Arabidopsis thaliana: one gene and its partners. The protein of the gene in region 1 interacts with the protein of each later gene in a pairwise test. Each region holds a gene or a part of one and is shown on either strand. Other genes may lie near its edges. The genes, in order: ETC2, AT5G26630, ZAT11 and GATA6.

Region 1 (5,191 bases):
CCGTTTCTCTATTTCTCCTCCTTAATTTTATGTTATTATGGACAAGATAAAAGCTTTAAGTTGTTGAGTAGAACAAAACTTCGATCGATATTTATTCTTCTCATCAATGGTTGTCTAAGTTATTGTCAATTCTACAAGTTGTGCCACTCGTCTTGTTCCAACTATACATTTTGTAACTCCGTCAAAAATATTGATAGGAAAAAATAATGATTAAACGAGGATATTTTGAAGTTAGTAGATAGCAAAGAAAGAAGATTAATAAAATTCCTAGTGTCATAAATTATCGTGAAATTTAGCGTTTACCATTCCGACAAAGATGAAGGACCACTCACACACACCTTACACTCAGATGGTATAATCATTCATCTTCTCGAGCTACCTCTATTCTTGTCTTTAATTAACTTCTGGCCCTTCCTTTCCTCCGCCATTTAAATTATAATTCCACTTGCAATTCATTTGTGTTTAAGAGTTAATTTACGGTTAAGAAAGAGTTCTGACGATGGAAAATGTTTTAACTAACATGCAAGTAAGGAGTTGTATAAGCTAATATAAGACTCCTAACTCCTTACGTGCATCATAAAAGTATGGGGATCCCTAAAAGAATGCATGAGTTACTTAAGGTTAATTCCACCCACATGCTATCACCATAATTAACAAACCACTCTCAATCAATACTATCAAATCACATAATCTCATGCTTAAGAGTTAAGACACCTAAATCGTTCATACAATCATGCTCACATTCACATATCATATACATTCAATTTCATGCACATGTTCGTATGCACTATTGTTCGTAACCACTTAGCTATCTCAACCATCCATCATTTCACTATCTTAACCATCGAGCCCTCAGATATAATGCTTGGCATCTCTCCATCTCTTAGTCATCTTGACCCTCAAACTTATCTGATTCTCAAGATAGTGAGAGCTCAGGACTCATAATATAGGAGTTTTAGATTTTGCTCACCATATTGGGCCATTAAGCCCTGTTTCCTTTTTTAGTCCAATCAGATCCTATAATTCCAGTGTATACCAAGCTTCCTGATCTTTAAACACTTTTAGGCAAATATAATTTCTTGTCCTTTCTTACTTAGAACCATTCTTCACATGAGAACCATCATTTGTGTATATATATTAATAACTTTCAAAACCTTAATAATGATCACGACATAAAATCTTTATAATGAGAGCGGGTCATTACAGGTGAACTCCTTTGTCCGTCATATCAGCCGTCTTAGAAGCTCGTATGTGCCCAATACTCTCAGGACCAGCCCTGAGCTCGTATGCATTAATTACTGATCTGGTTTTAAAATTTGTATATATACGTACATAGCCATATGGGATACTTCAAATGTATGATTTTGTCTCGACAGCTTTTACAAGTTTAGTCGAAGTGACCAGACAACAGCTGCAATCCGAAAGCATGTTTCAATGAAGTCGTTCTAGTCCATGACTGAAAATTTGTTATACTGAATGTTGTCGATAACTTTCCTTTTGTTAACGAATGCTTGTCGATAAATTTATATATATCCAGTATTATGATCACATAATGATAAATTAGAGGAATTTCATATTTTTGAATTGGTCTTAGCTAATACGTACCACGTAGGATCAATTTTCTCCTAACCTACTTCTTTAATATATAGTGGGTAAAATCATAAATGGTTCATTCTGATTTCACGCTGAGAAAATGATATGCTCATTATATAAGTACCGATTTCTCTAAGACAACTTTCAATCTGTCAGGAAAAGAAATTGATACGTCCGTTTCTTACAGTTACTGCATTTATTATCACTGAGACGATAATTGAGTTCTGTAGATGCATAAATAGGAATTATCTGTAGGGCATGCATATGTAAAATTAGACACACACAAAAAAATCTAAAGAGAAAAAAGCACAAGAAAACAAAAGTTTTGTTGGATTTTGCTAGTATTATTTACGACCCACAAATCTATATCACAACACGAAATTAACGGTTTATGGACTTTTTTTGTCCAATTTTCACGAAGTCGAAAATTTCGGGGAAAAAATTTCACCTAATGTTATTGGAGAACTGTAAAATAAAATTATAGATTATGTACATCCACATTCCACAGCCATCTCCGTCCGTAAAAATTTCTAAAATATAAAAAGAAAAACTGTGATTTTAAATTAGAACTTGTAGGATTACGTGTTCATAATATTTATTGAGAAGTGTATTTGCATGTGATGTTTTTCACTCGATTTTAATACGTTACTAGGCAAAAAAATAAAACTAGCACGCCATTTTAGTGACTGTTAAAATGTTCTGTTATAGGTCAGAAACAAAATCTGATCAAAATTTATTGTGAGCATTATGAACTTTTTGGAATAGTAAAAAACAAATCGAACGTATCACGAAATTATGTTTTGACGTATTCGATCGGGATATATAAAAACAAAAATGTGAATTATAAATTTAGGAATATATACGTAGAAATTCCAATAAAAAATAAATCACCTATCTCTCTCTCTCTCTTTTTATATAACTATTTTTTTCCCTCACATCTTTTCTATATCTTGCATTCTCCAAACTCTACATTTTCAGTTTCTCTGTAAATTTATCTAATATTCTTCTATTTTCCAGTAGTTATGGATAATACCAACCGTCTTCGTCTTCGTCGCGGTCCCAGTCTTAGGCAAACTAAGTTCACTCGATCCCGATATGACTCTGAAGGTCTCTCTTCAATTCATTACTCTACACTCATCCTCCTAACTCGTCAGCGTTAAATTATCTTCTCATTTAATTTTTGTTTGGATAAAACGAAACAAAAATGCAGAAGTGAGTAGCATCGAATGGGAGTTTATCAGTATGACCGAACAAGAAGAAGATCTCATCTCTCGAATGTACAGACTTGTCGGTAATAGGTAACAAATTCTCTTCTTCTGTCATGTCCGATTCAACATATTTTAAAAACAACTAGTATTTTATAAAATTAAAAAAAAAAAAAAAAAAACTAGTATTTTATAATTTAAAAAAAATTCACATGGCGAGAGTAACAAATCAAAGCTGATAAAGTGTTATGTTATGGTAAACATGATTCTAGAGTAGTTTAGACTTTCGAACGTGTTTCGAGAAAAATGACATGCCAATATTTAAGCAATGACATGAGTATTTTACTTGTATAATTTCAAAAAAAGTTTTATGTTGTTGATAAACTGATAAAATGTATAATTAACAGAAACTAAAATTTCTTCTTTTCTTAAAGTGTGATGATTTTAAAAACAGTGAAAGGATTGAATAATATATTGGCTCTTGAATATTATTGTCTTTATATATATACATTTTAAATTTCATTTCTGCATTATATATGTTGACTCCTGAATTTTGATAAATGTTTTTTCAGAATTTTGTGCTCGTCTATAATTCAAAAACACATTATATGCTTGAATATTGATTGTCAGGTGGGATTTAATAGCAGGAAGAGTCGTAGGAAGAAAGGCAAATGAGATTGAGAGATACTGGATTATGAGAAACTCTGACTATTTTTCTCACAAACGACGACGTCTTAATAATTCTCCCTTTTTTTCTACTTCTCCTCTTAATCTCCAAGAAAATCTAAAATTGTAAAGAAATCAAAATAAAAGCTTTCAATCATAAAAGTAGAACAAATCTTGAATGTCTTCTCATCATATAAATGGTTCAGAAATTGTTGAATCTCTTCGCAAAACAAATTAGAATAAGATCACCTTTTCTAAATCCGTGCTCTTAATCTTCACTTAGTTTACAATCATGGTTGTCAAAGTTATATCAATTATCAATCGTTAAGTTGCAGCTTACAACACATTATAGCAAGTGTGCCATTTCAAAGATATTGAATGAAAGAACAATCACCAAAATGTTAAAGAAAGATATTTTTAGTGTATACAGTCGACAAGCAACCTTAGATATAAAGATTCTTACAGATGATTAACCATTCTCAGAATACAGATTTAACACTCATCGCTGGCTAAATCAGGCATCTTCAGTGGGAAACTGCTTCTCCACATCCGCGACTGTCTTCTTTGCATCTTCGATCTCTGGACCTTCCTTCTCATCCGTCTCTTCCAATTCCGCCTGCAAATTCAGTTTTCATTAGAGACAAAAGACAGAGTACGAATTCACAGTTTCCTCTGTGTCCTTATTCATCATTTTTCCTCAAAGAGAGACTAAGATGGTTTCATGCAGGGGATTAATCCAATCGCTATAGATACATATAAAAGTTATAGTTTGATAATGTACTACTGCTCTTAAACTTCAAATCACCGCTCAGCGTTTCTTATAAACTAATACATAAAGCTAGACCGACGCTTAGCAAGCAATAACAATGGAAAATGTAGTTTACCAAAGTGGACTTGAGGTCAGCCAATGCAGACTCGAGACGTTTGTGGCAATCCGGAATCATCATCCTAGACTCACCCAACACATTTTCCTGCATCACCACATACACAGATTAGGAAAAACCAAGTCTAAACACAGCACAACACAGCATTTCTAGATTCTGACGAACAAAGACGGGCTCCGAATCTTCGAATACAGAGAGATAAACAATGAAATCTGTACCTGTTGTTTAAGGTCGTAGGGATCAGCACCTTTGTCCTTCATATCAGCAGTCTTAGCCGCTTCTCTCTCAACTTCTTTCTCATAAGAGTGAAGCTCTTTCACAATCCTTTTACATGTTGATGTTTTTATCTTCAAGTTCCTTATCGTTGCCATTGGATTCTGAGCAAGTACCAAACACAGGACAACCAAAATTAGGGTTTCTACATCACCAGCGAAACAACTCAAACGCAACGATTCTATAACTAGGTTTTGCGATCTCCTTTAAACTTCGATGTCGAATTTGAAATTGAAATAGGGCGATTAGATCAAGACTAATGTAGGTGATAATTCTACGATTCGTGCATTGCAATAGATCGGGAACATTTTGGAATTCATCGATTTCTTTTACTTGATTCCGATCTACATTGAGATCGACACAAAGCTAGATTCGATTGAAAATTAAAGGAAGATATACTGTGAAATAGAAGAAGTAGGGTTTAGAAACGAACCAGGCGATGATGGGAGAAGAAGGTTGCTTCCGATGAATTTGAGAGAGAGGACGCGGCGTAGAGCGAGGAGGAATCGAAGAACAACAATATACAGTTTCCGATTTCGATTTCTTCTTTTTCCTTTGCTTTCAATTCTG
Region 2 (4,954 bases), on another chromosome or scaffold:
TATCTTTCTTTTCTTTAGCCACATGTCATGAACCAAAATCTCTATTACATTTTTGTTGCTATTTGTAGTTGCTTCCATTAATATTCATACAAAGGTCGAACTTAACTCTGATTAATGATTTATTACATCTCTATAAAGTGGATACAAAGCTAGATGTCTAATCAAGGCGCAATATAAAATCTCTCTCTTCCCACTCTAGTTACTCTTTATATTTCCATCTTCTACGACACATAGGGCAATGGCCATAGCTCTGATACCATGTAATTGTATGAATCTCCGTGAATGGAAAGTTATGTATTGAACATATATATATAGGGTTACATGAGATAAGCATAAATCTGTTCATAAGATATTAGATATATACAAATATAAGATTCTCATATATCTAATCTAACAGGCAATAATCCCCGAGGAGTTTACTTAGAGGGCAATCATCCTCAGGGAGTTTGCAGTCAGGACAAGAAGCATCAAATGGCATCCGACATAACCCACATGTCTCATCTTGAGCATCCCATGTACCCCATGCCATCTAAAGTTTCTCACAATGTAATAGTTTTGGTGTATGAACCGTAAGAGAATCCAACAAAGGATTATTGAAATAGAAAATAGTCAAAATGCTATAATTTGAAATAGTTCATTAGAGCTTTATTGTGCAAAAATATAAAAAGAGGGAAAATAACTTAGATTGTCACCAAAACAAAGAGATTGTGGTTAATATTTCATAAAATGGATGAACGAGAGTTGTTTACATCTTTTAGACACATAACAATCCTATTTATATCACTTTCCAAAGAAACCCTAACACACATAGGCTTACAATAACACACATTAGATTTGTTTTGGATTTGTGTTTAGCTTTTAATTCCCTTGAATGGTCTTACATAAATTAAAATTGCATGTAATACTGAGAGTCAATGAATTTACTCTGTTTTTGAGTTTGAAAACATTGTAACACTGAGAGTCCATGAAAAACCTGTGTTTGAAAAAACAAATACTAATTGCAGGCGCATTGATCAACTGATCTTATTCTGCCCTATATGAATCAGTTGAGAGTTGATAAGAAGAATCCTCATAAGAAACTACTAGAAAGTCATCAACATCACTAACCAAAATACTCTTGGGCTTTCCAAGTCCAATCTAACTTCCACATTAATATGATATTGTCCGTTTTGGGCTAAGTGGCTAAACCCTCACAATTTGTTTATTGGGCTCCTAAGGTTGAATAGTGGAATATAGATTTAAACAACTTCTTCAACAGGTTCAAGAAGATTTCTTTTAAAGTTTTAGATCTAAACAAATATGTGGAGACAACAAACAAAAATCCAACGTACTCGGAATAATCTGAAATTTGATAGCATGTTCGGGAGACGAGAACTAAGGGATCAAATTTTGGTTCAGATGGTGAAATGAACTAAGTCGTTTTAGGAGTTAATTCGTAAGCTTATTGAACTATGTTTGGTTAAAGTTACTAAGTTTAAATTTCTCGTTCTGTTTTTTAACCACATAATAACGAATATTTTACATAGAATAATATAGAGAGAGGATGAGGAAGAAAGTGAGAAAATAACGAGGAAGATGAAGATGAAGACTATAACGAAGAAGTGAACGAGAAAGTAATGATGACAACGGCTAAAAGAAAATTAATAATTAAGATGACAAGAATGAATATGAAAAGTAAGAAACAACGAATGTGAAGAGAAATACAAAGACATATGTGTTGACATTCAATTGAATATGAAAAAATAAAATTGATTTATGATTCTTTCAAATAAATTCGATTCTTAAACACTACTGATTTTTATAATTTTAATATAGTGTATTTGAAATAAAATTGAATTTTTACTTCGATTTAAAAAATATAATTAATTGTATGTATTTCTTACCGAAATATATCAAAAATACACACGTATAGCGTGGGTACAAAACCTAGTTACAAATACAAAGATTAAATATGTGGGCGAATCTAATTATTTTGAATGGTTTATAAATGCTAGTTCAAATCCACATGTTAGATTTTGAAAATTTCATGGCATTTTAAATTTTATATAGATTTCAAAATCTTTGGCAAAAGGTAATAATATAGATTTCCAAATTAATTAACATACACAAACTAATACTCCCTCTGTTTTGAAATAGTTTTCGTTTATGGTGTTTTTACAGAAATTAAAAAATCAATTTTTTTTTATTTTACCCTTGTTTAATATTTTTTTTATTGGTAATGACATAAAAACAATAAGAATATAATTGGAATTTTTACCAAACATCTACATTAAAAATCTAAACCGATAAATATTATCAAACAAAATTTTAATGCTAGAACGAAACCTAAACTAATACGGAAGGAGTAATATCCTCTTAAGAATGTTTTTTTTTTAAATTACTTCCGTAGTTACCCTTTAAAAACATTTTTTTAATTGATTCTTGACCTTTTTTGTTATACTTTGTTTGCAAAAAAAACTTAAAAAATCTTTATGAAAATGATTTTTCAGTCAAGATTACCCACCACAATATAAAGTAAAATCATCTAGATATATATTCTATGTATGTTCAAACTATGTAATATTTATCTTTATTATATGTAGATATGTTTTCCATACATATAACATTTCAGAAAAAATAATGATAAAAATATTTGTAAAGTAAATGTTTTCCACATAAGATATGTTTGGATAATTATTAGTAATAACAATTATTTTAAAAAATATTTTATGAACCAGATAAAGAATAGTCGTTCGGTCAACTGGTCATGGATAAAAACTATTTTAAAAACTCAGCACTATAAGACTATAAGTCTATAAGTCTTTTTGAACAAGTGTCAGTTCTTGTTATGCAAAATTTTGGTATTAAGAAGTAACTATACCCAAAAGTTAACAAGGACAATTATTCAGTTAAAGTGTAACTATACTTTTCACAAACAAACTAAAAAACTTGTAACTAGATTAGTAGACTCCTTAATTCCTAAGTAAAAAATAAAAAATTGAAAAAAAAATTTACTTCTAAACATATATATATTTCTTTCCATTATCGTATTACCAATTTTGATATCCCTAAAAAGGTATGATATATATATGGTTGAACTGAGATAAATTTTGCTTAATTCCAACAATCAGATCTTCTATATAAAAAGCACTTCTCCATTCAAAAGTATAACACACAAAAAAATAAAGTCATGACGAGACAGAAAGTGAAAATGACTTTCATAGAAAATGAAACAGCAAGAAAATCAACATTCAAGAAAAGAAAGAAAGGTCTTTTGAAGAAAGCTCAAGAGTTGGGAATTCTTTGTGGCGTCCCGATCTTTGCTGTCGTCAACAGTCCGTACGAGCTGAACCCGGAGGTGTGGCCATCGAGAGAGGCTGCGAACCAGGTGGTGTCCCAATGGAAGACGATGTCGGTGATGGACAAGACCAAGAAGATGGTGAACCAAGAGACCTTTCTCCAACAGAGGATCACCAAAGCAACCGAGTCTTGGAAGAAGTTGCGGAAAGAGAACAAAGAGTTGGAGATGAAGAACATTATGTTTGATTGTCTTAGTGGCAAAACTTTGGTTTCTAGTATCGAAAAAACTGAGCTTCGAGATTTTGGTTATGTCATTGAACAACAACTCAAAGATGTTAATCGTAGGATCGAGATTCTGAAAAGGAACAATGAACCATCTTCCGCCCTCGTTCCTGTTGCTGCCCCTACAACATCTAGTGTCATGCCTGTGGTTGAGATGGGTTCTTCTTCGGTTGGATTTTACGACAAGGTTCGAGATCAAATTCAAATTACTTTGAATATGAAACAGACCACAAATGATTTGGATCTGAACAAGAAACAGTGGTGAGCCATCGTTGATCTTATTTTAAGTTGTTGTCATTTCAACTATCAATAAAAAGTTATTGTTTTAGTTCTGTTTGTTTAAGTTACATGTTTGGGTTGGTTTCACATGTAGTTGTATTTTCTCATGAATGAAATTTATTTTTCTTTCGTTAATTAATGTTTTCTCCTTATATATAATCGTTATGAATAAATGCATGCATCATATCAGTTCTTAAAACATGTTTTCTATACAGTAATGGCACAAGAATTGCATTCTCTGAACATAAACACAAATGGAAACCAAGCCATTGTGTCCAGTCTCAAATATTTGTAATTTAGATCCATCACTTTTCGACAACCAAGCTCGTTCAAGATTTAAGAGGTTTAATTCTGTATAAAAGGTCGTGATTTAAGACTTAACACTCCATTAAGTTTGAATAACATTGAACTAATTGAGGTCAAGTAAACCTAAATAAGAATTTATTCGCCAAAAACAATATGTTGATAACTAGGTTTGGCAATAAAATATTCAGATTTTAAATTAGGATTTTTACTAGCCAAATTGCGTAAGTTGAGATTTTTATTGGGCAGAATACGTATAATTGATTTTGCCAAATGAGGGCCAACATTGATAAACTTAACACTCCATTAAGTTTGAATAACATTGAACAAATTGGGGTAAAGTAAACCTAAATAAGAATTTATTCGCCAAAAAAAATAAGTTGATAACTATTTCTGGCAGTAAAAATATTGAGATTTTGTATTGGCCAAATTGCGTAAGTTAGGATTTTTACATGCCAAATTCCGTAAGTTGGGATTTTGATAGGCTAGAATGCGTATAATTGATTTTGCCAAATTAGGGCCAACAGTAATCAAACTTAACACTACATTAAGTTTGACTAACATTGAACAAATTGGGATAAAATAAACCTAAATAAGAATTTATTCGCTAAAACAAATAAGTTGATAACTATTTTTAGCAGTAAAAATATTGAGATTTTGTATTAGCCAAATTGCGTAAGTTAGAATTCTTACAGGCCAAATTGCGTAAGTTGGACCGCCAAATTGTGTAAGTTGGACCGGCCAAATTGCGTAAGTTGGGATTTTGATAGACAAAATGCATATAATTGATTTTGCCAAATTAGAGCCAACA
Region 3 (4,835 bases), 2.7 Mb from region 1:
TAAAAAGACTTACCCATATTTCCTTGATCAGTGACTTCCCGCAAAACCATTTTATTATTTTGAACTATTTTCCAAGAATATTGGAAAGGAAAACCTTTAGGTAAATCGTGTAAGTAAGAACAACAAAAATTGTAACACACATTGAAATAAACAAACTGTAATTACACACTCCTAATGAAAAAAACAAGTTTTTTGTATATATCTGGTAGTTCTGAAAATGCATGTATAAAAAAAAAGAAAATTACATTAATAATAATACGTAGATTTTAGATATCACTAATCTACAAAAATGGAAGGAAAAACTGTTTACCACGTCATCAGTTGCTCGAACTTTTCCTTTCACTTTTGTTGTATTTCTTCTCTTATCTATCATCTCTACACTGTGAAGAACAACACAAAACGTACGAGATCTGCACTAATATGTTGTATCTAAAAATCCAAAGGTTAAAAGAGATGAAAACCATATGAGACAAAAGTTGTAAGCATTCAGAATCATAAAACTAGTGTATAACACAAAAGTTGCATTTTTATTGTATACAAAAACTATCTAAGTAATGAATTAGGCAAAATAATGAATCAAGCGAAATAATGAATGAGGCGAAAAAATGAAAATAAAATCCACACACAAACACATGATCTAGCATCTATATACTGATTTTTTCTGGCTATTTTAATGTATTTGACGAAATAATGATGAAGATTTAAAGAACTGAGATGATAAAATTCATTTTATATTAAATCTAATTAATAAACACGCGCTGGAGAAAAACCTAAAAGGAATGAGAGAAAGTATCTTACAAACACGGCGATGTAGTGCTTTAAGTGTTGAAAGGCGTTAAAAAACATAAATTAAACCTTGAGAAGCCGAAAGACGGAAGCAGAAATGCAGAAGCAGAAATTAAGGTTTTCCCACATAATTATGTACATTTTACCTGGCGACCTATAGCTATAAATCCTATAACTGTGTCTTACACCTATTTTTTAGATGTAACTAAAAGAAATAGAAGCAAAATATATAACAGACTGTACAATGACATTAGAGTAAGAAAAACAAGTTACATTCTTTATTTTTACTGCCATTAAAGAACAAGTTATACTGAAGAGCTATAAGAGTTAAAAACTCATGCATTGTTTTAATTCCGAACGGTCATTCTTCTCTTTTTTTTCGATTTGTTTTCTTCTTTTTGTCAAAATTGAATGGAAATTAATTAAACTGAAGAAATTAATTAGATATTTTTACACTAGTGATGACGAGTTGACGACAATATAATTTAGGTAACTAGAGAGGATCAAGCTTGTTATAAATTTATAATATCTAACATCAAAACTAAAGCCACTGAAAAAAATGATAATAATCAAAGCATGTCATATCCTAAATTACATGATGATGGCAAAAATAAGAAATATCCGACGATAGTGATGACGACAATAGAATTTTGCAATTGTCTAGAGAAAAATCATCTAATATAAATTCAAGCCATTGGCAAAAAAATGATAAACGTAATATATTCAGGATCCTTTGTTGCATATCATACATGCCAAGGCAAAAGGAATATGTTTCCAATTCCATAGGGGATATGGCCCAAAATTTGGCCCGCTTATGAATATGTTGTACTTGTTCCAGGAATGGAAACTAAATAATTTAGTTTAAAATCTTTTTCTAGCGTACATGATAACCAAGAACGCACATATGAATATACTATATAGGGAGTAGGGACCCCACACATATACCATGAAGTTTGTTGACATTAACGTTTGAAGAATTAAAAGAATAGGAATTACAATACAAATGAATCATTTTTGGGACAAATGTCTTCTTAAAGATAAAGAAAAAAAAAACTAAAGAACGAACTTCATATCTATTTTTGGGACAAATGTCTTCCCAAAGATATATTCAAGATCATTCTCTAACGGAGTCAGATTCAAATCCAAACTCAAAATCCTCTTACTACTACCGCATCGTTTCAAAACCGGCATGGATGGAATCATCGGAGAGATGAACGATGGCTCGACCGTCATGCTTGACCTATGCCGTCTCATGTGACCACCTAAAGCCTGTCCGGTCCCAAAACTCTGACTGCATATGGAACACTTGTGAAAATGATTTCCTTTATAATCGTTGCTAAGATGTTTCACATCTTTCTGCTCAACGGTGAGCTTTGGCTTCTTATGGCTTGCCCGGTGGCCACCAAGGGCTTGAAACGAAGAAAATCTCTTGTTACATGTTTTGCATTCGAATTGGTTGCTTGTATGGCTCTCGGTATGTTGGTTCAAACCGATCTGTTTGACCATGGAGGTTTGTGCTAGTATCATCAGACATTTAGCAATGTCAATATTCTTGAGGGATTCTTCGAAATCAGATCTTTCTCTCTTCATACTTCTTTGAGAATTAAGATCTGAGAGGGTTACAAAACAAAACAAAAATAAAGTAAAGGTTGGAGTTTTTGCTTGTTAGAAAAGAAACCTGAATTGAGAGGATTTGTAATGAAGGTTGAGAACTTAGAAGTAATGTATATTTATATAAGAGCAATTACCTAAAAGGTTGGACTTTCTAGTAGTTTGACCAAAAGAAGTCGTCTAAACTAATATTCTATCTAACACAACTACCAGAGCACTGATTCTCTGACTTGAGACAAGTTGACATTTTCAATATCACCCTTCGACCGCCGGCACAATGCATACCACGGGTGTTGAATAACAAGGGTAATATCGTCTTTCCCGTAATACATCACATAGTTCTCATTTCTTAGAAACTTCTACTGCTAAAAATGTGAATCTAACAAAAGTAGCATAGTCAACACATGTGTACACAACACAGAATAAATCAAGCAACTTGGTTTCTCATGGACTTGCTTGCCACAGGCATAACTTAATAATTTATATCAACACCTAACCAACTGTATCCTAATCAAAAAATATAAAATTAAGGATTTCAATGTACTTTAGACTAATCATTGGAAAATACAGCCTTAAAGAGCTCTAAATAAGTAATTCTTCCCCTTTGGTAAACTGTTTTTTCATATTTTATTGTATAGTAAAAAAAAAACTACATTCTTCAAGACTTTTTTTTTATAAAAAAATAAATCTTCAAACTTGCGCAAAGCTAAAATACAAAAGTAATCTTCAGATCCAAGTTCGAATACAATCATTACCTTGTTCGAAGAGAAAATTCAATTTGGTCAAACACATGCACTAGAGACCAAACAAAAGCCTTTTTGATACATTGTTCATCTAGATAGTAATAAGAGCTCAATACTGAAATCGTCACCAGTGACGGATTCTTGACGACAGCAATTGAATTTTATGGAAGAGCAAGTCAAAGTAAAAAAAAAAGTGGTAAATTAGACTATTAGAGGTATGTGCTTATTCTTGACTTTATTATGTTTTCTTGTGGAAGCAATGCAAAGTCTTGTGTTCTTTTTGTTCTCTCTTTACTTTTCTTTTTTTTCATATTTGGTTGACTCAAATGAGAAAATAAGCCAATTTAACCGGAAACGTCATCCATAAAATCTAAAATTTCAGCAATCTGCATACCGGTTTAATGTCAAAATATAACCAGATTTATCCATGACAACATAAGCTTGCGTACTACTACATAACAACCTTTACACAGTCTTAATCTTCTACACTCATCCAGCTGATGAACATAAGCTTTCTTTTTTACTCATTTGTTTACTTCCAAGAATGGAGTTCTGTTGTTAGCTTCGCCAAGTCCTTGTTTTGTTGATATTTTCTCCAAACTTGTGTGTTCTTCGCTGAGAGTATTCTGCGAAAACAAAGTCCTCATCTCCTCAATCGAATCCAGGCTTGGCACATTTATGGATTGTTTCTTTGGTGTTTCGTTCTTGTGCTGATCAACCTGTTCATTTTATCCAAAGCTTTGCTGTTAATGTATACACATATAGATCACACTATAGATTTTCCATTATGATTGCTTAAGTACCTGATAGTCTTTTATGAGAGACTGTTCTGCTTTGTTTCTAATGTTTGAAACAGCTTGTCCATGATTCTCCTGCAATAATGTGACCTGGTTCATGCAAGTCTCTACTATAGCCTCTGTTGTTTCTTTGTTCTCACGGTCTTGCATCAATGAGTCTGTAAAACCAAGGATTAGGACGTTTTTGAGTAGTTCTTGAGTAGGGAATGGAACAGAGGTTTAGTGTGGTTACCATTAACAGCTGCGTGAAGTTCATTTGTCCTAGAGACAAAGTTAGCATCCATTGAGGAAAATGTGGATGTAAATTCATCTTGCACCTTCTCATTTTCTTTTGCCATGTCCCTATACGTAGATAGTTTATTCAGTGAAATGATGTGGAAACAGAGAGATGCACGGATACAGAAGTTAAAAACTTACTCCATTGTGACATTAAGTTCTTGTTGATACTTCGTGTTAAGGTTCTTTATGCCTGTTTCAGTGGTCTCCCACAATGTTTTAGAATCATTGGCCCTTCCCAAGCTGCAATAAATACAATCTTTGTATGAGAAGACATAATGCAAATTAAGTGAGAGGTTTGAATAGAAAGCAGTGGGGAGATGGAATTTATACCAATCTTCAAGGTAACTATCCATGACTGTGATAGACTCAGCTGAAGCTATTGTGTTTTCCGTGAAGTGAGTTTTCTCTTTCTTTAGATAGTCACACAATTCTTCCTTTGCACCAATCGAGACTTGCTGCATACCAGACATTTGTTCATACAATCTCTTCTCTTCCTGTATGTCATGTTCCCGGATATTGCTTGATGCATCAGAAATCTAGAAACACATAGAGCATCAGTCTTTAAGTTTGATTCAACTGATGAATAAAACAAGCCTAAGGGGGTTATAATGGTTAAAGA
Region 4 (5,888 bases), on another chromosome or scaffold:
TGGCCTGAAAGCAGAGATAAGGTAAAAATTTCTATAAAAAAAAAAAAAAATTTCCTTGAGGTGATATAATGTAAAATTGGATAGAAGTTAACTCACATGTGATCTAGTAGATATGGTACCACAATGTCCCACACACAAAGCTAGCTGAGGTAAAAGGACATCAGAACTGGGTGAAGGTCACTGGCGAGTTCTTGACGTTTCCTGGTGGTGGAACACAGTTCATCCATGGAGCTCTTCATTATATCGATTTTCTTCAGCAGGTGAACACTCATTTCTTGATTTCAGTATAGTGTTAAAACTGCAACAAGTAAAAGATAGAAATTTTATGCAGAATATAATGGTTCCTTTTTTCTACTATGGCAGTCTTTGAAAAACATTGCGTGGGGTAAACGTACTCGGGTCATATTGGATGTTGGATGTGGAGTGGCGAGCTTTGGCGGTTTCCTCTTTGAAAGAGATGTTATAGCAATGTCTCTTGCACCAAAAGATGAACACGAGGCTCAAGTCCAGTTTGCTCTTGAAAGAAAGATTCCAGCCATCTCAGCAGTTATGGGCTCTAAGCGACTGCCATTCCCGAGCAGAGTGTTTGATCTTATCCACTGTGCACGTTGTAGAGTCCCATGGCATAATGAGGGTGGTATGCTTCTTCTGGAACTTAATCGGATGCTTAGGCCTGGAGGTTATTTTGTCTGGTCAGCAACACCAGTCTACCAGAAGCTTGAAGAAGATGTTCAAATCTGGAAAGGTAATGACTAAAGTAAAATGCTTGAACTTAACTAGAGTTCCTCCTTCTTTTGTTTGTTTCACTGAACCTGAGATGTTTTGAGTGATGTAGAAATGTCCGCGTTGACAAAATCCTTGTGCTGGGAACTTGTGACAATCAACAAGGATAAACTCAATGGTATTGGTGCTGCAATCTACCAGAAACCTGCCACCAATGAATGTTACGAGAAAAGAAAGCACAACAAGCCTCCACTGTGCAAAAACAACGACGATGCAAATGCAGCCTGGTATGATTGTTTCCACAATTTGCATAGGGAATGAATAACCATAAGGTTTTAACAGAACAAAGAAAGTCAAAACTTGAATGGAAATTTCAGGTATGTACCCCTACAAGCATGTATGCATAAAGTTCCTACCAATGTGGTCGAGAGAGGAAGCAAGTGGCCCGTGAATTGGCCCCGTCGGCTTCAAACACCGCCTTACTGGTTAAACAGCTCTCAAATGGGGATATATGGGAAACCAGCTCCTCGAGATTTCACTACAGATTATGAACACTGGAAACATGTTGTAAGCAAAGTATACATGAATGAAATAGGAATCAGCTGGTCAAATGTGAGGAATGTAATGGACATGCGAGCTGTCTACGGAGGGTGAGCATCAACGAAAACAAATCAAACTAAAATCTCACTTACCAAAACTAAACCTTTTTTTACTAACTACGTAAAAATGCAGGTTTGCAGCAGCTCTGAAGGACCTACAGGTGTGGGTAATGAATGTAGTAAACATAAATTCACCAGATACACTACCGATAATCTACGAGAGAGGCCTATTCGGAATATATCATGACTGGTGTGAATCATTTAGCACATACCCTCGAAGCTATGATCTCTTACATGCAGATCATCTTTTCTCAAAGTTGAGAACAAGGTATAAGCGTAACTCATAATATCCACACCTTTTGGTAACGTTTCATCAACAATAAGTCTCTTGTTTTGTTTTGTTTTGAAAGGTGCAATCTTGTTCCAGTAATGGCAGAAGTGGATAGAATAGTAAGACCAGGAGGTAAACTAATAGTTCGTGACGAATCAAATGTGATAAGAGAAGTTGAGAACATGTTGAAGTCACTGCACTGGGATGTTCACTTAACTTTCTCCAAACACCAAGAAGGAATCTTAAGTGCACAAAAAGGATTCTGGAGACCAGAAACTTCTCAATGAAAGACGCTCTGAGAATCTGCATTTGAAAGTAGCAGAAGCATCATTATAATACAACACACTACTCATATCTATAATCCCCAAAAGAATTTGTCAGTATAAGAAATAGCTTTAGTCTTCTTAAACTATATAGACTAATTAGAACATTTTTGTTTTCCTTACTTCATATTGCTTTTTTTAACATGGTTATGATATTCTCTTGTAAGGCTATGAATCATTTCACTGGGAAAAGTAAGGCACACCAATAAATGAAATTTTGTTCCAACAAGTAGAAACATAGCAGTAATGAAGAAGAGATTATGATGCTTTAGCGATACCACAAGCCAAATTCACCATAAGCTATTGACAGGTAGCGAAAAGTCAAATTACAAAAGGAATAAAGTAGACATGAAATGAAACCAACAATCTTAAGCCCACATATGAATTCAAAAGAGAGGTTAAGAAAGAAGAGAATCTGACATCATGGGCAGAGTAGGAGCTGAAGAAGATGGGTTTCTGCAAATTTGAAGCTTTTAATCGCATATCGCTGAGTAATCATCACAAACAGTTTTGAATTGAAGAAGACGGGAGGAGAAAAGCCATTGTTAATGAGATACCCAAATCGTAAAATTTCAGAAAGCCCAGCCCAACATAGCCCAATACAGCCCAAATATGTATGTGATTGGGTAACGAAAACGAGACCGTTCTTTTTTCAGTCATCTCTCGTTTCACAGTAGCGCGTATGTACGCTTTGAATTTACAAAAAGTAGACATTTTTATGAATTTTTGCCGGTTGAGTAAAAAGGTAAAAAAAAATAGTTCCCACCAAAGCAAAATATTTCAATTTTTATCTTTTTTTTTTGGTTCTTGGGAAAATAAGAGATTGAGAAAGAATAAAGAAGAGAAACTCACAACTTTTTTAGTTTTAGGAGAAGAGGGCTTTGGTCTGGAGTCACTATCATATTCAATGCTTTACCAAACTCACCTCTTCTTCTAAATTCTCACCACTCTTCTTCTTCTTCTCATTCACCGACATATCTCCTCTCTTCACTCTCTGTCTCTTCTCATCTCAGGTAATTCCAATTTTAGTTTTTTTTGAAGGTTACTTACTCGTCACATTGTTTGAAAAAGATTGAATTTTTATCTGTGGCTTAGTCAAATCATGGTTCGTTTCACCAAGTTGTGGTTCTGGGTTTTCGTGATTTTTCTTTTGGGTTTTTCTGTTTGAATTTGGAAAAATAAAGGAACGTTTTTTTTTTCGGGGGGAGTTTTTTTTTTAAAGATAATTTTTGGAGAGTTTTTGATAATTCTGAGGAAGCCAAAAGAAAAGAAGAAAACCTAATTTGTGTTGGTGGGGTTTGATAGGAAATAATGGAGAGTGTTGAATTGACGTTGAAGAACAGTAACATGAAAGACAAAACCCTAACCGGCGGCGCTCAAAATGGCGATGATTTCTCCGTCGACGACTTGCTTGACTTCTCAAAAGAAGAAGAAGACGACGACGTTTTGGTTGAGGATGAGGCTGAATTGAAAGTACAACGAAAAAGAGGAGTCTCTGACGAAAATACCCTTCACCGGAGCAACGATTTCTCCACCGCTGATTTCCACACTAGCGGGCTTTCCGTTCCGGTATGAATTTGTGTTTTCATTTTCGCAAAATTTATAAAAATTATCAGTCATTGCATTGTTAATTTCTTGCTTTTCATGTTTTGATTGTTAGATGGATGATATAGCGGAACTTGAATGGTTATCAAATTTCGTAGATGATTCTTCTTTCACGCCGTATTCTGCTCCGACGAATAAACCGGTTTGGTTAACCGGAAATCGGAGACATCTTGTACAACCGGTTAAAGAGGAGACCTGCTTCAAATCCCAACATCCGGCCGTCAAAACCAGACCCAAACGAGCCAGAACCGGAGTCAGAGTCTGGTCTCATGGTTCGCAGTCGTTAACCGACTCATCTTCAAGCTCTACAACATCTTCGTCGTCCTCTCCTCGTCCTTCAAGCCCTCTATGGCTCGCCAGCGGTCAGTTTCTTGATGAGCCAATGACTAAAACACAAAAGAAGAAGAAAGTTTGGAAAAACGCTGGTCAGACGCAAACGCAAACGCAGACGCAGACGCGGCAGTGTGGTCATTGTGGAGTTCAGAAAACGCCGCAGTGGAGAGCAGGACCATTAGGAGCGAAGACGTTGTGTAATGCGTGTGGTGTGCGTTACAAATCGGGTCGGTTACTACCCGAATATAGACCCGCTTGTAGCCCAACATTTTCGAGTGAGCTTCACTCAAACCACCACAGTAAAGTCATTGAGATGCGTAGGAAGAAAGAGACTTCTGACGGTGCTGAAGAAACCGGTTTGAACCAGCCGGTTCAGACGGTTCAGGTTGTCTCGAGTTTTTGAAGAAATTGTGGAAGGTTTTTAAAGGAGCAGAATTAGGATCCGACCCGGTTCAGATTTATCACCAGTTAGTATGTTAACGGGTTATGTATGTTTTAAATTACAAATTTGATTTTTTGTTTGTTAGTCGTAGTAGGTTTTTAGATTTAGTAACTGGTTAAAACTTTTAAAACTCTTACTATTATATTTGTTTTGTTTCGCATTAATTTTCAGAATTCTTTTTTTCTTAACCTCCTCTAACGTTATATTTACGTTATAATATATAGTTTTTATATTAATTGATAGAGATGGTTCATTTTCTAGTTAGAATGTATGCTCAATAATTATTGGTAGACTGATAGTTATCAAGTGTATAAAATATGAGATCAATTTATACCAAATTAGGAGTAGGCTTTATTTCAGGGTTAGTAACTCCAATTTTTTGTTGTTACTTATTTATATCCATCACATTTTCTCTTGTATTTCTAAAATTGACATAATATAACTGAAAAAAAAAACAAATTTCACAAATAAAAATATATACAATAACTGAAAAAAGAAAAATAAACGTACTGGGCACACTCTCTTATTGACTAATTTATTACTCTGCGTATTTTTGGAGATTGAATACGACCTTAGTTGACGTGATAATATTATCCATTTTTGCAATGTGATAATATTCGTTGACCATATCTTTGAGATTATCACGAATTACCAATTTACCTTGGGACTTTATTCCTCGTATGGTTTTAGTTGAGTTGACTATTAATAATAGCTTTTAGTACGTGTTTCGTAAATGCTGCATAATATGTAACTAACTAAACAATTCGAATATATATATACTAGTTTTAACATTCGTCTCACACGCTTAGCTTTCTCCTTCACAACGATGAAAACGTCTCCTGATTTCAAAAGTGAGATCATACTCTTTTTTAATTTGCTAATTTTTTAATAACAAATCATATGTTTTTCTTTTGGCTATATTTAAGGGAAAATTACACAAGAAGCATAAACATTAAAAGTTTGAGAAATTACTATTTCTACGTTGAAGGTATACATTTTGGTTTTTACTTTATATATACACATTACATTTTTGACCATTCGGATTGTAGACGTTGTGCAATGCGTGGTAGAGTTTCGAGTGGGCTCCATTCTAATCACCACTGTTAAATTCATTGAGATGTGTACAACGGAATTAAGAAGATGTTCGACAAGGCTGATAAACTTGATTTAAACCCGCTGGTTCAGGTTGTGCCGAGTTTTTGAAGAAATAGGGAACATAATTAGGATCTGACCCGGTTCAGTTTTAGCATCAAGTACTTTCTGATTAATTATTTTGAACTTTTAGTTTGTATTAACTTGATTATTGTTCGTGGTAGTCGTAGTTTCAGATTTTAATAATGACTGGTCATATTTAGAGCTTTAAAAGTCATATGTCGTTTTGTTTCGCTGCTTTCTCTGAACCTCCTTTAATGTTGTATCTACGGTAAAACATATAATCTCTTTAACCTTGGAGAGAATATGAAACCGTTCGAAATTTTAATACATGACACTAAGACATGGCCACATGGGGACATTCGACATCCATTTGATCT

The links.
Region 2: the proteins of ETC2 (region 1) and AT5G26630 interact in a two-hybrid assay, tested with the Arabidopsis thaliana proteins (one large-scale study listed by BioGRID).
Region 3: the proteins of ETC2 (region 1) and ZAT11 interact in a two-hybrid assay, tested with the Arabidopsis thaliana proteins (one large-scale study listed by BioGRID).
Region 4: the proteins of ETC2 (region 1) and GATA6 interact in a two-hybrid assay, tested with the Arabidopsis thaliana proteins (one large-scale study listed by BioGRID).

Annotation. Positions count from the first base shown.
Region 1 is NC_003071.7:12,959,340-12,964,530, reverse strand, and holds ETC2 (Homeodomain-like superfamily protein), read left to right. Parts: upstream 1-2,368; 5' UTR 2,369-2,615; coding exon 2,616-2,700; intron 2,701-2,803; coding exon 2,804-2,891; intron 2,892-3,428; coding exon 3,429-3,594; 3' UTR 3,595-3,684; downstream 3,685-5,191. Other genes in the region: TCL2 (Homeodomain-like superfamily protein), read left to right, coding at 1-25; KIS (tubulin folding cofactor A (KIESEL)), read right to left, coding at 3,979-4,080, 4,349-4,435, 4,567-4,719. UniProt on the Arabidopsis thaliana protein: MYB-type transcription factor involved in epidermal cell fate specification. Acts as a negative regulator of trichome development, by mediating lateral inhibition.
Region 2 is NC_003076.8:9,347,646-9,352,599, forward strand, and holds AT5G26630 (MADS-box transcription factor family protein), read left to right. Parts: upstream 1-3,166; 5' UTR 3,167-3,169; coding exon 3,170-3,826; 3' UTR 3,827-3,975; downstream 3,976-4,954. Other genes in the region: AT5G26640 (anaphase-promoting complex subunit 11 RING-H2 finger protein), read right to left, coding at 196-250, 396-529.
Region 3 is NC_003071.7:15,703,995-15,708,829, reverse strand, and holds ZAT11 (C2H2 and C2HC zinc fingers superfamily protein), read right to left. Parts: upstream 2,546-4,835; 5' UTR 2,377-2,545; coding exon 1,840-2,376; 3' UTR 1,606-1,839; downstream 1-1,605. Other genes in the region: AT2G37420 (ATP binding microtubule motor family protein), read right to left, coding at 3,665-3,859, 3,944-4,095, 4,170-4,279, 4,355-4,456, 4,547-4,752. UniProt on the Arabidopsis thaliana protein: Probable transcription factor that may be involved in stress responses.
Region 4 is NC_003074.8:18,970,352-18,976,239, forward strand, and holds GATA6 (GATA transcription factor 6), read left to right. Parts: upstream 1-2,774; 5' UTR 2,775-2,989; intron 2,990-3,281; 5' UTR 3,282-3,287; coding exon 3,288-3,545; intron 3,546-3,636; coding exon 3,637-4,317; 3' UTR 4,318-4,541; downstream 4,542-5,888. Other genes in the region: AT3G51070 (S-adenosyl-L-methionine-dependent methyltransferases superfamily protein), read left to right, coding at 1-21, 111-260, 364-745, 836-1,010, 1,101-1,373, 1,456-1,650, 1,733-1,940. UniProt on the Arabidopsis thaliana protein: Transcriptional activator that specifically binds 5'-GATA-3' or 5'-GAT-3' motifs within gene promoters. May be involved in the regulation of some light-responsive genes.